Linked DNA regions of Sus scrofa. The main gene of each other region encodes a partner of the protein of the gene in region 4 in a complex. Links are inferred from orthologs where the notes say so. Each region holds a gene or a part of one and is shown on either strand. Other genes may lie near its edges. The genes, in order: NRIP1, NFKBIB, CREBBP and PPARG.

Evidence for each region.
Region 1: the proteins of PPARG (region 4) and NRIP1 are in contact, whole or in part, in a crystal structure (PDB 9CWN), measured with the Homo sapiens proteins. The link is inferred for Sus scrofa from reciprocal best matches to the Homo sapiens genes PPARG and NRIP1. Residues at the interface, in NP_056953.2 of Homo sapiens: Val321, Gln322, Thr325, Lys329, Phe334, Leu339, Gln342, Val343, Leu346, Lys347, Pro495, Leu496, Glu499, Ile500, Lys502; in NP_001426204.1 of Homo sapiens: Ser130, Thr131, Leu132, Leu133, Ala134, Leu136, Leu137, Ser139.
Region 2: the proteins of PPARG (region 4) and NFKBIB are in contact, whole or in part, in a crystal structure (PDB 9CK0), measured with the Homo sapiens proteins. The link is inferred for Sus scrofa from reciprocal best matches to the Homo sapiens genes PPARG and NFKBIB. Residues at the interface, in NP_056953.2 of Homo sapiens: Gln322, Thr325, Lys329, Phe334, Leu339, Gln342, Val343, Leu346, Lys347, Leu496, Glu499, Ile500; in NP_002494.2 of Homo sapiens: Asn286, Pro287, Ile288, Leu289, Ala290, Leu292, Leu293, Arg294, Ala295.
Region 3: the proteins of PPARG (region 4) and CREBBP are in contact, whole or in part, in a crystal structure (PDB 7RLE), measured with the Homo sapiens proteins. The link is inferred for Sus scrofa from reciprocal best matches to the Homo sapiens genes PPARG and CREBBP. Residues at the interface, in NP_056953.2 of Homo sapiens: Val321, Gln322, Thr325, Glu326, Lys329, Phe334, Val335, Leu339, Asn340, Gln342, Val343, Thr344, Leu346, Lys347, Leu496, Glu499, Ile500, Lys502; in NP_004371.2 of Homo sapiens: Asp62, Ala63, Ala64, Lys66, His67, Lys68, Gln69, Leu70, Ser71, Leu73, Leu74, Arg75.

The regions. Positions count from the first base shown.
Region 1 is NC_010455.5:179,829,002-179,833,470, reverse strand, and holds part of NRIP1 (nuclear receptor-interacting protein 1), read left to right. Parts: intron 1-2,281; 5' UTR 2,282-2,593; coding exon 2,594-4,469. UniProt on the Homo sapiens protein: Modulates transcriptional activation by steroid receptors such as NR3C1, NR3C2 and ESR1. Also modulates transcriptional repression by nuclear hormone receptors.
Region 2 is NC_010448.4:47,701,647-47,706,803, reverse strand, and holds the start of NFKBIB (NF-kappa-B inhibitor beta), read right to left. Parts: upstream 3,161-5,157; 5' UTR 3,064-3,160; coding exon 2,885-3,063; intron 1-2,884. Other genes in the region: SIRT2 (NAD-dependent protein deacetylase sirtuin-2), read left to right, coding at 3,504-3,519, 4,365-4,411. UniProt on the Homo sapiens protein: Inhibits NF-kappa-B by complexing with and trapping it in the cytoplasm.
Region 3 is NC_010445.4:38,386,462-38,391,400, forward strand, and holds the start of CREBBP (CREB-binding protein), read left to right. Parts: upstream 1-1,904; 5' UTR 1,905-2,106; coding exon 2,107-2,191; intron 2,192-4,939. UniProt on the Homo sapiens protein: Acetylates histones, giving a specific tag for transcriptional activation. Mediates acetylation of histone H3 at 'Lys-18' and 'Lys-27' (H3K18ac and H3K27ac, respectively).
Region 4 is NC_010455.5:68,431,826-68,435,018, forward strand, and holds the end of PPARG (peroxisome proliferator-activated receptor gamma), read left to right. Parts: intron 1-1,665; coding exon 1,666-1,913; 3' UTR 1,914-2,122; downstream 2,123-3,193. UniProt on the Homo sapiens protein: Nuclear receptor that binds peroxisome proliferators such as hypolipidemic drugs and fatty acids.

The DNA.
Region 1 (4,469 bases), about 110 Mb from region 4:
ATGTATAGATAAGAAGCCTAATTCTTAACTGTATGTTGGCATTTAGGATTTGTAATGGACTGTGCTCAGGTAGTAGGCAACGCCCGATAACATTCTTAAGTAGTAAGTATTTAAAATCAAGTCAGCCAACTATATGTTGGTGATTCAAAAATAATGTGGTTGTCTTTCCACTAAAAGAAAATGAGTCAGGTTAATACTAGCTTCAAATCAAATGAGTTTAACCCTAAAAAGCCTCTATTAAGCAATGGTAACATTTTACATTATGCACTAATACCTGTAGGTTCCAGTGAGCTGTACCATATCCAAGTATTATGTCTCTTTTTCTTTTCTTTTTTTCCCCCCCTAAATCTCTCAGTTAAATTCTGTACTATAGAACTGAAAAAGCAAGAGAGATAGGAAGAATTGTTAGTGATTTCTCCCACATTAGTTGTTTAAGAAACAGTAAAGGAAGTTACCTGAGGAAATTTGGCACACCTAGTTCCCTGAAGAGTTTGTAATAGTAGAGTCTGAGTGAATTCCAGCCTTAAGTAGTCTCGGAATTTCTGCTTTCTGAGGTATTCCAATTTTCTGCTAGAATGGTGGTAGGTGTTGCCTACCTGCACCCCAGGGGAGTGCACCTAGAATAGCTTTTCAGTAACTACTATCTTTGAGTTACAGGTTGATCTTATTAAAAAATGAGTTTCGGAGTTCCCGTCATGGCTCAGTGGTTAACGAACCCGACGAGGAACCATGAGGTTTTGGGTTCGATCCCTGGCCTTGCTCAGTGGGTTGAGGATCCAGCATTGCCGTGAGCTGTGGTGTAGGTTGCAGATGAAGCTCGTAGCCCGAGTTGCTGTGGCTCTGGTGTAGGCCGGCACCTACAGCTCTGATTAGACCCCTAGCCTCAGAACCTCCATATGCTACAGGAGCAGCCCTAGAAAAGGCAAAAAGACAAAAAAAAAAAAAAAAAAAAAAAAGAGTTTCTATGAAAAGCTCTTTCTTGCCTCATATAATTGGTTTTGTTTATAGAATATTCTTTTCAAAGAGGTTAATGAGAAATAACCATTTGAACTTTGAATTTCTCTTCAAATCTCTTCTAAATTTGTTTCTTGCCAACTTTTCTACAGGATGATATGATGACTTAGTATGTGTGTGTGTGTATATATATATATATATGTATAGTTATAGGTTTTTTTAAGATTTTACTTCTATTATAGTTGATTTATAATGTTCTGTCAGTTTCTGCTATTATAGTTTTATGTGCTCTATACTAACCACATTTTCTAAACCAAAAATTAATGCAGTACCCAAAAACATTTTTTAAATAATGACTTTTATTTTTAAATCCTTTAAATTTTTTTCAAATCACATAATATTTTAATTTATCTGTAATTATTGATAACAAGGTCATACTCAAAGAAATAGCATGGGCAGGGGGAGGAGTATTTTATATTAGGAACATTCTAGAAACTTAGGATGGTAGGCTTATCTGTAACCTGTATTCTGCATCTGCTAGGAGTGCACCTTATTTTACAAGTTCTACATGGAGCACAGATGTAAGAATTTTAAGACAGACGCATTCAAACTTTGCTCGACCTAAATGGGTTTTGTTTTTAATAAGTCTCGGTAAGAACTATGGGTGAATAAGCCTGTGATTTTATGTAAATGTGTATTAACTAAGACTATCACAGTTTGCATGCCCCTTCAGAAGAATCTTACACTTGTTAGGGCTTCCAATTCTTTGAAAACAGAAATTCTCCAAATTCTTTTGGGGATGGCTGATGTTTAGAGGATGATGTCAGAAGCGTTGTGTCGGCCTCAACCTCACATCCAACTCATTAGATGAGTCCATGTCACATGGATCTCTTCTCCTTTTTCCTCTTGTTCCTTCATAAGCTCTGAGTAATGTAAGGAAGCTAGAACTAGCCCCTTGTACAGCTGCAGTGCTATAGGGAGACGACTTAGCATCACATCACTTTGCAGAAAGATGTTTATGAAAATTCAAAAACTTAATGGGCTTTGGAAGACAGTTGTATAACATTAAAGTATTTTCTCTGATTGGATCCTTTTCACGATATGAAATTAATTAATCCATAAGATTTCCAGTAGAGATTTCCAATTTAATAGGAATGGCAATAAAATAAATTACTGAAGAAGCATCTATAATGCATAAATATGTACATTGCATGTGGGTATATATACGCATATCAGCTTACAAGCGCTAGATTGTTTTGCTTTCACATATCAGAGTACAATTCTAATTCTTCACCTCCTTAACTATTTTTTTCTTTAATTTTTCTAGAACACTGATATTTGCATTTATTGGGGAACAAAAGATGAAGAAGAAGCAGTGTATTCACTAAGGATTCTGCTGCTGCTTCTTACTTGGGAGTTGATCAGCTCTATGGTCGGACTGCACTGGGGTCGGCCTGCCATTTATCTCGCCACTGCCAGCAGGAATCCTGGTCGGAATGTAACAGTACACCTCTGTCTAATTACTATGGAAGGTGATAAACTGACACTCACTTATTAACATTACATCTCATTCACCCAAAAAAAAAACCATTCTTCAAAGTGAATAGAAACCAAGCCCTTGTGAACACTTCTATTGAACATGACTCATGGAGAAGAGCTTGGCTCTGATGTGCACCAGGATTCTATTGTTTTAACTTACCTAGAAGGATTACTAATGCATCAGGCAGCAGAGGGATCAGGTACTGCCGTCGACAAAAAGTCTGCTGGGCGTAATGAAGAAGATCAGAACTTTAACATTTCCGGTAATGCATTTCCCACCTGTCAAAGTAATGGTCCAGTTCTCAATACACACACATATCAGGGATCTGGCATGCTGCATCTCAAAAAAGCCAGGCTATTGCAGTCTTCTGAGGACTGGAATGCAGCGAAGCGGAAGAGGCTGTCTGATTCCATCGTCAATTTAAACGTAAAGAAGGAGGCTTTGCTGGCTGGCATGGTTGACAATGTGCCTAAAGGCAAACAGGATAGCACATTACTGGCCTCTTTGCTTCAGTCATTCAGCTCTAGGCTGCAGACTGTTGCTCTGTCACAACAAATTAGGCAGAGCCTCAAGGAGCAAGGGTATGCCCTCAGTCATGATTCTTTAAAAGTGGAGAAAGATTTAAGGTGCTACGGTGTTGCGTCAAGTCACTTAAAAACATTGTTGAAGAAAAGTAAAGCTAAAGATCAAAAGCCTGATACAAATCTCCCTGACGTAACTAAAAACCTCATCAGAGAGAGGTTCGTAGAGTCACCTCATCATGTTGGACAAAGTGGAACAAAGGTCCTGAGTGAACCTTTGTCATGCGCTGCAAGATTACAAGCTGTTGCAAGCATGGTGGAAAAAAGGGCTAGTCCTGCCACTTCACCCAAACCCAGTGTTGCTTGTAGCCAATTAGCATTACTCCTTTCAAGCGAAGCCCATTTACAGCAGTATTCTCGAGAACATGCTTTAAAAACACAAAATGCAAATCAGGCAGCGAGTGAAAGACTTGCTGCTATGGCCAGATTACAGGAAAATGGCCAGAAGGATGTGGGCAGTTTCCAGGTCTCCAAAGGAGTGTCAGGCCATCTTAATGGCCAGGCAAGAACATCATCAAACAAATTAATGGCTAGCAAAAGTACAACATTTCAAAGTCCAATGGGTCTCGTTCCTTCTTCCCCCAAAAATGCAGGCTATAAGAATTCACTGGAAAGAAACAATATCAAACAAGCTGCTAATAATAGTTTGCTTTTACATCTTCTTAAAAGCCAGACCATACCTAAGCCAATGAACGGACACAGTCACAGTGAGAGAGGAAGCATTTTTGAGGAGAGCAGTACACCTACAACTATTGATGACTACTCAGATAACAATCCCAGTTTTACAGATGATAGCAGTGGTGATGAAAGCTCTTATTCCAACTGTGTGCCCATAGACTTGTCTTGCAAGCACCGAACCGAAAAGCCAGAACCTGACCAGCCTGTTTCTCTAGATAACTTAACTCAGTCCTTACTAAACACTTGGGATCCCAAAGTCCCCGAAGTAGATAACAAAGAAGATCAAGATACCTCAAAGAATTCTAGGCTAAATTCACACCAGAAAGTGACCCTTCTTCAGCTGCTCCTCGGCCATAAGAATGAAGAAAATGTAGAAAGAAACAACAGCCCTCAGGAAGTCCACAGTGATGTGACAAAGTTCAGCACACAGAACTATGCTCGGACCTCTGTCATTGAAAGCCCGGGTACCAACAGGACGACGCCAGTGAGCACTCCACCCCTACTTGCATCGGCCAAAGCCGAGTCTCCCATCAACCTTTCCCAGCATTCTTTGGTCATTAGATGGAATTCCCCACCGTATGCCTGTGGCCCTCCGTCTGAAAAGCCAACAAATGCCACCTCCAACCGCTTGATGGACCTTACAAAGAGCAAAGACTTGCAAGGAGAGAAACCAGTCCAAAACGAAGGTGCACAAAACTCTGCCACGTTCAGTGCCA
Region 2 (5,157 bases), on a different chromosome or scaffold from region 4:
TAATTCAGGCCTAGTGGACGATATGGTCTCTCTTTTACTCACTTAGCTCAGCTGTCAGGATGCAGAAGCATCCACTGGTGATGTATAAATAAATGGGTATGGCTGGATTCCAACAGCTTACTTTATGGAGTCTGAAATTTGAATTTCATATAATTTTCACTTGCCACGAAATGCTTTTCTTCTTTTGATTTTTTTCTAACCATTTGAAAATGTAAAAACTATTCTTAGCTCACAGCCATGCAAAAGCAGGTAGCTGGCTGGACTTTGTCTGGAAACCAGTTTGCCAACTATTGGTCTTTCAGAGCAACCACGAAAATAAAAAACAAAGAGTTAGAGCTAATAAGCCAACAAAAGAAACACAATGGAACAAAATTTGCTCATTCTAAAAGGCAGAAAAAGAGGAAAAAGGTAAAAGAGATAAGCAAAAAAGCTAAAAACAAGATAAACATAACCATTTCAATAATTAAGTTAAATGCAAACAGTCTAAACACTGCAATTAAAAGACAGAAACTGTCAGAATGAATAAAAAAGTAAACCTCGAGTTCTCTTGTGGTGCAGCAGATTCAGGATCCAGCACTGTCATTGTGCCACACTGCTGTGGCTCGAGTTGAGTTGCTGGCTCGGGAACTTCCACAGGCACAGCCAAAAAAAAAAAAAAAAAAGCAAAACCCACTATATGCTGCCTGTAACACTCTTGAAATATAAATTTTAAAATAGGTTAAAATTAAAGGGTATAAAAAGATATTCCATGGTAACACCAGTCATTCAAAAGAAAACAGAAGTAAGTATTTTAATATCAGAGTAGATTTCAGAGCAAGAAGCATTACCAGGGCTAGAGAAGGTTATTTCATAACGACAAAGAGGTCAGTGAAACAAGAGGACTTAATAATCCTAAATATTTGTGCCCCTAATAATAGAGCATCAAATTACACAAAGCAAAATCTGATAGCACAACAAGGAAAGCCACGAATCCACAATTATTGTTGAAGATTTCAATACCCGGCTCTCAATAATTGACAGAACAAGTAGAAATCTAGACTTGAGCAACAAAAGAACCAGGGAAACACTGACACTCGGAGAACACTACACCCAACCAGAGCAGAATACACATTCTTTCAAATGCACACATTATATTCTTGGCCCTAAAACAAGTCTCAAAAAGTCTGAAAGGATTCAAGTCATGCTAGGCTCTCCATCCCCAACAGAATTAAACTAAAAGCCAATGAAAGAAAGATGCCTGTGATATGGAAACTGAATAACATACTTCTGAAGAATCCGATGACCAAAGAAGAAATCAAAAAAGAAATTAGAAAGTATATTGCATTAAATAAAAACACTACACATCATGGAATTCCTGTTGTGACTCAGTGGTTAACGAACACAACCAGTATCCATGAGGATGTGGTCAATCCCTGGCCCGGATCACTGGGTTAAAGATCTGGCACTGCCATAAGCTGTGGTCTAAGTCGCACATAGGGCTCAGATCCCACATTGCGGTGGCTGCGGTGTAGGCCGGCAGCTGCATCTTCGATTTGACCCCAGCCTGGGAACTTCCGTATGTCGCAGGTAGGCCTTAAAAGCAAAACAAAACAAAATGACAAAAAACGACACAGCACATCAGAATTGGTGAGATACTGCTAAAGCACTACTCCGGGAAATTTACAGCATGAATCACTTATATGCGTAAAAAAAAAAAAAAAAAAGAGTCTCAAATCAATGACCTCAGCTTCCATCTTAAAAAACGAGAAAAAGAAGAAATTAAACCCCAAATAAGAGAAGAAAGTAAATAAGTCAGAACAGAGATCAACAAAATAGAAAGCAAAAAGAGAGAAAAAGAGAAAATAAATGAAACCACAGCTGGTTGTTTGAGAAGATCACTGTTTCCTGAGTGCCTCCTATGGGTCAGGGGCTGCTGGGTCACTGGGGATACAGCGGTAAACACGATACTCAAAAACCCCAGGTACATTCCCTCAATTGGGCCTTTACAACTGTTTTTCCCTCTATGTGCAATGTTCTCCCCAGATAATCTACTTGTCTCACTTCCCTGCTTTATTTTTCTCCAAAGAACTTCTTAACGTCTGACATGCTATTTTTCTTTTTTTTTTTAATTTTTGTCTTCGTTTCTTCCTGCCTTTCTTCTTTCTCTCCCTTTCTTACTTTAGGTCTGTGTATCTTTTTTTCTCTTTCCTTCTCTCTCCTTTTCTTTCCTTTTTCTTCCTCCTACCCTTCCTCCCTCCCTGTCAGTCTATCTGCCCTTCTGTCTATATACCCCCACTAGAATGTATGCTCCACAAGACAAATGTTTTTTGGGCTTTCCTCCCTGCCTTTAGGCCACACCTAAAACAGTTCCTGGAAAGTCGAAGGTGTTGGATTATTTGTTTAATAGATGAATTCCTGCTGTTATGTAGTTTCCATTTTCTCTTTGAATGTAAGCTTTGAAGATCAGAGTTCAGAAGGTGGGATCCTGGAGTCAAAAGCCAAGTATTAATTTCGAAATAAAATCTAAGGCTCATGTAAGTTAGGCGCTGAGGACCAAAGATCATATTTGGAGGATAAAGGTCAGGAGGAGCCTGTCTGAACTACAGTTCTAACAGAGGGCTAAGGACTGGGGTCAGGAAGGTCAAATCGAGTTTTGGATGTGGAATCGATCACTGAATGTGGGTCTGATCAATGAACGCATAACTCTGAGAATCAGTTCAAGAAAGGAAGGCCAGACATTATTGGGTTAGGATCAAAATTAGATAAGAAGTTGGTTTTATCAGAGGCCAGTCTTGGGGTCAGGAAGTCAAGCATCAAAAGACAGATTTAGGATTGAAAGGTTGGGAAGTCAGGATTGGAGATGTGGGACCCTGGGGCCCGATTTGTCAGTCTAAGGTTCACTCACGTGTCGCCATCCTCAGTGACGTAGCCGAAGACGAGGGGCGCCCACGATAGTCCCGGACCCAGCTCCGCGCCTAGGCCTGGTCCTCCGGGGGCCGCTGCGTCCGGACCCAGAGAGCCCAAGCCGCTGTCGCACCATTCATCGGTGTCCGCAGCTTTCCCCAAGCACGCAACCCCAGCCATGGCCCCCGAAGCCTCAGGGGCCCCCAGCGGCAGCCCGCCTGTCGCTGGGCTCTGCCTGGAATTCTCGAGCTTCCGCCCTGCGGGGAATTCCCCAACACGCCCCCCTGACTCATCCAATCAGGGTGGGCTAAGTAGTACACGCCCCGCCCCCATGCCACATGATGACCAATCAGAGCACTCAGGTGGACTACGGCGTTCTACCTTTTCCCACACTTTCCCGGAGTCCTTTACCAGCATGGCTGTGGACGTGGAGCCCTCTGGGACTCGTAGTCCGGCCTTTGCGTGGGGGCGCGCTCCGTACGCGGTGCAGAGCATTATATGCGATCGCGATGGCTGCTGGGAGTTGTAGTTCTCTGCCTTGTCTCGGCCCCCTCCTGTTTCCGGTGCCGTCACGGGACAGAGCAGTCGGTGACAGTCCCGAGGGCCCCCGCCCCGCGCCCATGGCCGAGCCGGATCGTGAGTCGGGGACCCCGGTGGGAGGGCAGGGCTGCACCGGGGCCTAGCTGAGGGTCGTAGGCCCCGGGGCCCGAGGGCAGGCTTGGTGGGGCAGGAGATGGGGGTTGCATGGGGGGGAAAATGGGATTCCGGGGGCAGTTGCCAAGTGATCCATATTGCTAGATTGGTGGCTTTCTGGGTCGCTAGGTTTTAAGGGTCCGTTTGCCACTTCCCCCAAGTTACTAATGATCACATGTTTCTCGCACCTTAGTTGCCAAGGACCCTCGTTGCTAGGGACTTAAGATGCCGCGGTCCTGGTTGCTAAGGGTACCTGGTTGTTAGTAGCAACTGTAGGATGCCAGGGTCCCCTCCTATTGCTTCCTTTTTCTCCGAAACCAACCCCACCCTGCCCGACACACACACACACACACACCACACACACACACACACTCTGCACCTCTTCTCCCAAACCTGCCAACAGGCAGAGTATGTCTTCTCTCCTTTCTATGGCTTCCCACTGCTTGTAAACCTAATGACACACACTCTCACACTACTACACCCTTCCTAACTCCTCCTAAGTCTTCCTCCATGCCGGGCGTGCTTTACTTTCTCTTCCCTCGCCTAAACCTTCCTGTCCCGGCCTCTTTGTCCCTCGCTAACCTCTCCTCCCAGCCGTCTGCACACTGATAAGGTCCGCTTTTCCCCATTGCCGCCCTCCTCCACTTCCATTTTACACCCCCACCCCACCCGGTATGACCAGGTTGGTGAGTTTTCTTGATCCCTCTGCCCCACTAATTTGAAGCCCTTCCTTCCCCCTTAACCACTCCCTTCACCTTAACCACGTCTGCTCCCCCTCCTCCCCCCAGCCTCAGACCCTGTGGAGACCCAGACAGGGAAGGTGCAAGAGGCTCAGGTGAGATGGGGCGGAAGGGTGGCGGGAAGGAGAGAGATGGACTTCCCACACCCCATCCTGGGAGGGAGGTGGCAGAGGGGAGATGGGAACCCCAGGGCCCTGAGCTCCCTGCCCCAGTCCCTCCCCCCACCTCCTGGTTCAGCCTCCCGGGGAATGGTGGATTCTGGGGACTGTCAGAGGAGGGCGTGCAGCCTCAGCCCCCGGCCTGCCCTTCCAAACCTTCCTCTCTCCTTGCCACCCCCCACCCCATCCCTTCTGAACCTCTTTTGCACTGCGCATGGAAGAGATCTCAGAGCCAAGTGTAGGGTGACAAGGAAAGCAGCTCAGGGCACCTTGGGAGCCCAGAGTAAACTTCGTGGAGTCCCACAGATTCCAGCCAGTCCTTTCCCTGGAGGAATCCCACAGGCTGATCTAGGAGTCAGGTTGAGGTACAGACTCGCAGTAGTGAGTGTAGAGTGACTTAGAATTTTCTTAGGTGAGGTGCGAATTGGGGTCCCACGCGGAGGGTACGGCTTGTGCAAACACGGGGAGGCGGGAGAGTGAGATGCGCTCAGAGGTCAGGTGGCTGGGGTGCTCCGCTAATTATTCCCATGGTTGGCATTTCCTGAGTACTTACTCCAGCAGGTACTCTGTCTCGTGCTCTATGTGCAGCGTCTCATCTTCCCAGCATCCCTGTGGGGGGCAAGGCCTACTGTGTCCATTTTACACATGAGGGATTTGAAACAGAGTTTTTCAATAGCTTTTCC
Region 3 (4,939 bases), on a different chromosome or scaffold from region 4:
TCCCTGCCCTTGCTCAGTGGGTTAACGATCCGGCGTTGCCGTGAGCTGTGGTGTAGATTGCAGACGCGGCTCGGATCCCGTGTTGCTGTGGCTCTGGCGTAGGCTGGTGGCTACGGCTCCGATTCAACCCCTAGCCTGGGAACCTCCATATGCCCCCCAAAAAAATAGCAAAAAGAAAAAAAAAAAAAGACTCTGGGGCAGTGGAACGAGGAGGAAGAGCCATTTGTCCAGGTAAAGGATCTGGGGAGGCAGGTTGCTTGGTGGGTGGAGGGAGAGGAGGACTCACAGAATTCTGGCTTAGGAAACAAACAGGTCGTTGGTGATACCCTTCAGATAAAGACGTGGGATGAAGCCCAGGCAAATTGTGAGAAGCAGATAATGAGCTGAGATGTGTGAACACCTTAGATTTGTGTGTAACTGTCCTGCGGATAGTGGGCACGCGGGCGGGCCTCCGGGGGAACCTCACACCTGACTGCAGCACCTGCGGGGTCCAGATGGTTGCGTAGGGCACGAGGGCCCTAAGCCCTGATGTAATGGGGCCTTCTGGGCCCGGCGCAGACTGAGTGTGCTTGGCTGGGAAGCAGCGCTCACCACTTCCCGGTGCAGGTGAGGGTGTCGGACCTGGGGCCCCTATTGCATCAGGCTGGGGAACAAGGGCTCAGGAGTCCTGCGTCCTCCTCACTTCACGTGGAGGCCTTCGAATCTCGGCCCTGCCACTTCCTGCCTCAGTTTCCCCATCTGCACTCGCTCACGGGCGGACCCAAGAGCAGTCTGTAACCTGCAGAGGCCACGACACAACGCTGGCATCCGGCGGGGAGAAGCTGCCAGCCCTGGTCACCGAGAAGGGTCGCGGAGCAGGGGCGCGGGGAGCCGGGACTGGGCAGAGTCGCCTGCGGGACGGGCAGGCCCGGGCGGCGCCAACTCCGCGCCTGGGGGCCCGGCTTGCTGCCAGGCCGCAGCCAGACCCCTCGCCGCCCAGTCGCCGTCAGAACAAAAGTGGCGGCGGTGCCCGGCGCCCGGCGCCCCGCAGGCCCGGCCCCCGCCGGGCAGTCTAGCCGCCCCGCCACTCGGCCGCACGACGTACGGCAGCCGCGCCTTCGGCCCTTTCCGTCCGAACGCGCTCGGCTCTTTCCGCTGCGGCCGGCGCAGGTGGAGGGGGCGGGGCGGGGGCCGTGCGTGGTGACGCCGCGGGGGGGGGTGACGCACCGGCGTGCCCCGCCCCCTCCCCCTCCCCGTTCAGGCTCTGGAAAGAGAAGAAAAAAAACTTTCTTTTTTTTTTAATTGAGGAATCAACAGCCGCCATCTTGTCGCGGACCCGACCGGGGCTTCGAGCGCGATCTACTCGGCCCCGCCGGTCCCGGGCCCCACAACCGCCCGCGCACCCCGCTCCGCCCGGCCGGCCCGCTCCGCCTGGCCCTCGGCGCCCGCTCCGGCGGCCCCGCTCGCCTCTCGGCTCGGCCTCCCGGAGCCGCGGCGGCGGCGGCGGCGGCGGCGGCAGCGGCGGCGGCGGCGGCGGCGGAACGGGGGGTGGGGGGGCCGCGGCGGCGGCGGCGGCGGCGGCCCCGCTTCGCTCATTGTTTTTCCTCGCGGCGGCGGCGGCGGCGGCGGGCCGCGGGCAGGGAGCGGAGCCCGGAGCCCCCCGGTCGTCGGGCCGCGAGCGAATTAATTAAGTGGGGCGCGGGGGGGGAGCGAGGCGGCGGCGCGGCGGCGGCACCATGTTCCCGGGGACTGCCTGAGCCGCCCGGCCGGGCGCCGTCGCTGCCAGCCGGGCCCGGGGGGCCGCCGGGCCGCCGGGGCGCCCCCGCCGCGGAGTGTCGCGCTCGGGAGGCGGGCAGGGGATGAGGGGGCCGCGGCCGGCGGCGGCGGCGGCGGCGGCGGCCGGGGGCGGGCGGTGAGCGCTGCGGGGCGCTGTTGCTGTGGCTGAGATTTGGCCGCCGCCTCCCCCACCCGGCCCTGCGCCCTCCCTCTCCCTCGGCGCTCGCTCGCGACTCGCGGCTCGCGCTCGCTCTCCCCTCGCAGCCGGCCGGGGCCGGCGCCGACCCCCGCCCCGGAGCCCTCGCCGGCCCCGCCGCCCGCGCTCGGGGCTGTTTTCGCGAGCAGGTGAAAATGGCCGAGAACTTGCTGGACGGACCGCCCAACCCCAAACGAGCCAAACTCAGCTCGCCCGGCTTCTCTGCGAATGACAGCACAGGTGAGTAGGGGGCCGGGCGGGAACAGGGGCCCCGGGGGTCGCTGACAGCCCTGCCCGGAGGTGAGTGCCCCCGGGGGACCCGAACTCGAGGGCGGGCGTGCGGGGCCCTTTCCCCGGGACCCCGGCCGCGGAGGGGGAAGTTTGTCGGAAGACTGCCTGGGGCCCGAGTGGGGCGGCACATGCCCGGTGCGCTCGCATAGCCCGGAGTTGGCGAGCCCTCCTCGCGTGGAGCCCGAGTGGTACTTCCAGGGGGGAAAAGTAAAGCGGAGCGTGTTTGTTCTGCGTGGTGAGTCCCTTTGCCACCCTCTGCCGCCGTGGGTCGACACACGCGTGGCTGTTTGAAGGGATGACAGCGGAGGGTGCGTTTGCCAGTGAGGGAAGGAAAGCGTGCAGCCCAAAGGGGACCCGAAATGTTTTCTGAATTGGTAGCACATTCACAAGGCAACCAGAAGACACGCAGAGCTGCAGCCAGCCTCTTGAGTTACGACTTAGAAGTTTTTTGGAATGTGCTGCTTGGGAAAAATGCTTAGTAGTTACTTTGAAAACTCTTGTTGTTGGTCTCCTGAGCTATCCCATTTTTCACAGCCCCAAACTTCGGAAGACGTCCTAAGTGGGGTGTTTAATTTCAAGACTGTAACTTCGGAAGAAAGTTAAATAGCAGATTGATCCGGGCTGCAATCTGCAAGTGAGCTTGTGTTGCTTTTACAGTGAAGATGTAAGAAGAAAAAATATGTTAAGGAATGGGGGAATTACAGTCTTCCTCCCTAGTTTTTTCGGTAGGATACTGAATAAATTCACTGTTTTAAACATCTTCCCTGGAAACTTTCTTAGGTGATCACATCAATTACCTAAGGGAAGTGTTTTAGTTTTCTATTCATTTATAGTTTTAGGTTCTTCTGGGCTGGTTCATGGTAGCGTTATGAACTAGTTGTATTTCCTCTTTCAGAGCTCTCCTTTGCGTTAAAAACTTGTGCGCTTCGGTGAACGATTTGATCCCCAGCGCAGCTTGCATTTCTCCACTGTGATCTTGCAGTAGCAGCATCTGTAAATCAGTTTATAATGAATGGGTCAGAATTGAATTATATTGCTGCAGCAGTGCCTTCAGATTTGCAGTAGACACAGCTGTTCAGCTTGTGCAAACATTTCTGTGACTGACCACTAGCGTTTTTCTGCTAGTGGTCTAAAAATCTATTGCTATTGTTGGAACAAAACTTGAGTTTTGTGGCTGCAGTTTTACTACAATTCCTAGACTATTTTTTAATGTAGAATTGAGAGAAAGTGTAAAAAAAAAATCATGAGATTCTTGTCTAGTTGAAATGAAATTTGTTGAAACAGTTGGAGAAGAGTCAGTTAAGTCTCATGGTGTATAAAAGTCACCAATAATACTCTTCTTTAAAAAAAAAAAACTGATGAAGTGTTGTGTTTGATGTTAATTTTGTAAAATCAGCTTATCTGAAATGAGAAATGTGAGAACAACCATGATTTCAATGCTCTGATTTTACTGCATTTAAAAAACTCTGATTTTACTGCAGAATAGCTCATCTTGGCTCCATTAATCTTGGCATGTTTGAGTGAAAAATCTTTAATCATATGAAATATAGATCATACTGGACAAGTTTGCTTTGAAGCTTGTCCTCTGAAACGTAACTTTTGAATGGCTTTGCAGCTTTGCTGTTGTTGATTGAGGTTATTTTAGACTTTGCTTTTTATACAGAGGGACAAGGGAGTTACGTGAGACGTAGCAGAAAGGCTTGTCCCACTGTAAACTTGTACCTCTTTTCAAGATGGCACCCAAAGGACTGGCTCTTGGGGCACTTCTGTTATTGGATGGTCAGATATCTACTTAATGTGTGGCTGATCACAGTAAAATTTATCAGAAAGGGTGGATTTTGACCACTTTTTTCCCTTTCTAATTTTGATCCTTTTGAGGCACTGGAGCTCTTTTGCTTTTCCAAATGTGGAACAAAAAAGTCAGTTTTAACAGCTCTGTTTAAATAATCCAAAGAATAAATTCACCTTTATATGTGTGTCGGGTCCTTGGTGGCGCGTTCGGCACCATCATGTCCCTGTGAGAGGGTCTCTTAGTGTCAGGGCCTTGGAAGGGCCCTCACTGAGCACATGAAGCAAGGTACAGCCTTGTCTCCCGTAACTGCTGGTCTGAAGCAGGGCTTAAGGATGTCTGTCAAGGCAAAGCAAGGACTAAAGGGATTAGATTACACGCAGTCAAAGGATCGAAGGCATTTTGTTAAATGGAAACATGGGGAGAGACCTGAGAATAACATTCTCGAGAGACTCAGCCTCATTTAAATGAGGAGATATGGGTTTGTGGCTTCTAGGATAGAATTGGACCGGGCAGGAGTTCCCGTCGTGGCGCAGTGGTTAACGAATCCAACTAGGAACCATGAGGTTGCGGATTCGGTCCCTGCCCTTGCTCAGTAGGTTGACGATCCGGCATTGCCGTGAGCTGTGGTGTAGGTCGCAGACGCGGCTCGGATCCCGAGTTGCTCTGGCTCTGGTGTAGGCCGGCGGCTGCAGCTCCAATTAGACCCCTAGCCTGGGAACCTCCATATGCCGCAGAAGTGGCCCAAAGAAATAGCAAAAAGAAAAAAAAAAAAAAAGAATTGGACCGGGCAGAGCCATGCCTATTCGTTGCTCATGTGATGAAATTTGAGGGAGGAGAGCTCTGTGGCTGGGAAGAGCTGAGGCGTTAGGAGTAGAAGGAGGCTCTGATGGCCTGAGAAGCTGGGG
Region 4 (3,193 bases):
AAAGATTTACCACCAGGCTCAAATGGTTCTGCAAATGAATTCCAAAAAAAACCATCAAGGACTAGATCATCACTACATAGAAACAGAAGGAAAACTTCTCAACTCAGTCTGTAAGGCTAGTTAATATTTATTACCAAAACAGGCAAAGGATGGCACAAAAGAAGACGACTCTGGACCACTATCCCAATTTTAAAAACCCTAAATAAAATATATAGCAAATGAATGCAAGGGTATAAGAAAATCTATTAATATAATTCACTACACTAGCTTAAGATAAAACTATATGGTCAACATTTTAGGTAGAAAAACTTGAAAGCATTTGATGAAATGCAACAACATTCCTAACTAAAATTAAAACCTTTAAAACTCTGGGAGAATCTGGAGAAAAACATATCCACCATACTCTAGTAAATACCATACTTGTGGTAAACCATTAGAAGCATTTCCTTCAAGCTTAGGAATAAAATAAGAATGCTTCCCAGTACTGCTACTATTTACCGTATTAGCATTATTAGCCAATGCAGTATGGCAAAAAAAAGAAATGAGAACTATAAACACTAGAAAAAAAGAAATAAATAAAACTTATGAACAAAACAAATAATAAAAATATGATTATTTGCAGATATAATTGTCTATCCAAAAAATAATTTTTTTAACCCATGATACAAACTGTTTGATTTGAGAAGAGTTTAGGAAATTGGAATAGATTCAGTATAATAAAACCTAACTTTTTTCTAAACATCAGCAGGGATACATTAGAAAATGTAATGAAAAAGAAGTATAGAATACTAGAAAGGAAACAAGTAAAAATAAAGAATACTGGAAAGTATTTAAGAAGAAATCTAAAAAGACCTCCATGAAGAAAAAACATTAAAAATTTAAAAGTAATCTAAGCTCACCATTTAAAAGTTCAAATAAGGAAAGTATAAAGAAGAAAGTGAAATCTACCTGCATCCTCACCTGTCGAAAGAGAAGCCTCTGTTAAAACTTGGTCTATCCTTCCAAAAGTATAACAGAATTTGAAAACTATGTCTCATCTCTTTGAAAAATGCATATGCTATGTTAAGCAAAAAGAAGACAAAGTTTATTTTAAAAGTGTGTTGATCCTGCTGTTTAGCACTGGGAACTCTATCTAGTCACTTACGATGGAGCATGATAATGTGAGAAAAAAGAATGTATATGTGTATGTGTGACTAGGTCACCTTGCTGTACAGTAGAAAATTGACACAACACTGTAAACCAGCTAGAATTGAAAAAATTAAAATCATTATAAAAAAAATGAAAGTGTGTTGAAAGTTGTGGTAAGAAAATAAGATTATAAAACATAGACTCATCAGGAAGGAGCAGAAGTTAAAAATGAGATTTCTGAGTGAGTAGAAATAATGCCAGCAGAAGAATCTGCAATCTGGGAAGTGATTGCCATGCCACCACGTTCTGTCATCTGGTCACACAGATTTAGTCCTACGGGAAAAGAATGGTCTTGGAAAAAGCTCTGATAGTCTTGGGTTTTATTCCTTTTTTCTTATATGCAGTTCTTGCCAACTCTCTGCTTACCTCCCCTGCCCCCATCCTATTTTAGAACCAAAACAAAACCAACAAAAAGTCATTGGCCAGAGAATTTTATACCTAAACCTCCTGTTCTGTCTTCCATTTCTGCTCCCCCAGACCGCCCAGGTTTGCTGAATGTGAAGCCCATCGAGGACATTCAAGACAATTTGCTGCAAGCCTTGGAGCTGCAGCTCAAGTTGAACCACCCAGAGTCCTCCCAGCTCTTTGCTAAGCTGCTCCAGAAAATGACAGACCTCAGACAGATTGTGACAGAGCACGTGCAGCTGCTGCAAGTAATAAAGAAGACAGAGACGGACATGAGCCTTCACCCACTCCTACAGGAAATATACAAGGACTTGTACTAGCAAAGAAGTCCACGTTCACCGACAACATTCTCCTTCTTCCAATTGCACTATTATTTTGGGGGAAAAAAAATCTGACACCTAAAAAAAATTACTGTGAAAAAGCGTTTGAAAAAGAAAAGGTTTTAGAATAATAGATCTATTTTATGCATATTGTTTATAAAGATACATTTACAATTTACTTTTAATATTAAAAATTACCACATCATGAACTTGCTGGATGTCTTTGAAGACTGAGTCTGTTGTGTCTCCCATCACCACTCCCCAGGTATTTTTTTCCTTTTATCTCCTCCCTCTTCCTTCCTTTATTTTTCCTTTTTTCTTTCTTACAGTGTGAAACAATGTGAATGGGATTGCTGATCAATTTCCATTTTCAGTCAAGTTTTTTACTCCATTTACAATGTTTCTGAACCTTGTAACTGTTTTAAAAATCACAACTAAGCGAGGAATTTCAGGACTGAAAACTACTCAGAGCATGTGTTTCTTAACCTGGATGGACTAATGTTGACCATGTCCCTAGGCTTACCAAGAATTCAGTCTTCTTCCCCAGCCCCAATCAAGATTTTCACTCACCAACAGCAGCCCTCTAACAGGACACCAAGGCACAGACAGATACCCACTGGAGGGTATTAACTGCTAGATGCTGTAACACAAGTGGTATAAGATGTGGCACCTGCCAAAAAGAACTTATTATTGAATTGAGGGGGGAAAAAAAGATTAATTTTTCTCACAAACAGATTAATATGTACAGTATAATCCTGTGCCAAATGTATGGTTCAGACTCCAAGTGCTCTGAGTTCAAAGTAAAGATTAAGAAGATTGGAAAAGTCTTGAGTGATCATAAATTCATTCAAGTGGGCCTCAAAGGATGCGTTTTACTTGAGATAGGTAGAGAGTTGGAGAGAAGACATTCTAGGAAAGCAAAACCACAGAAACAATAGCAAAAGGAAACAAAAGCAAAGCAAAACATGAGTGAGGGAGAAGGGCCATGTTCTGGTCTCAAGCAGTTTTGCTGTACATCTTCCTGCCTTCCTTCTTGGGACCACTTTGCCCAGGAAGCTCTGACTTTTCCAATCTCAAAGCCTAATTATCCGTTTAGGGGAGGCCAGCCTCCCCAGCAACTAGATGACATGGTCCCTCAAAGCAGGAATCTTCTTGGCACAATTAATAGATTTGTTGCTTGATGCCACAAAGTTCATTAGCATTGCTTATCCATGAACACACATGGCAACTTCCAGGAAGTCCTCGTAAGCAAACCATGCTGAGGTCTCACTTGCTTGTTT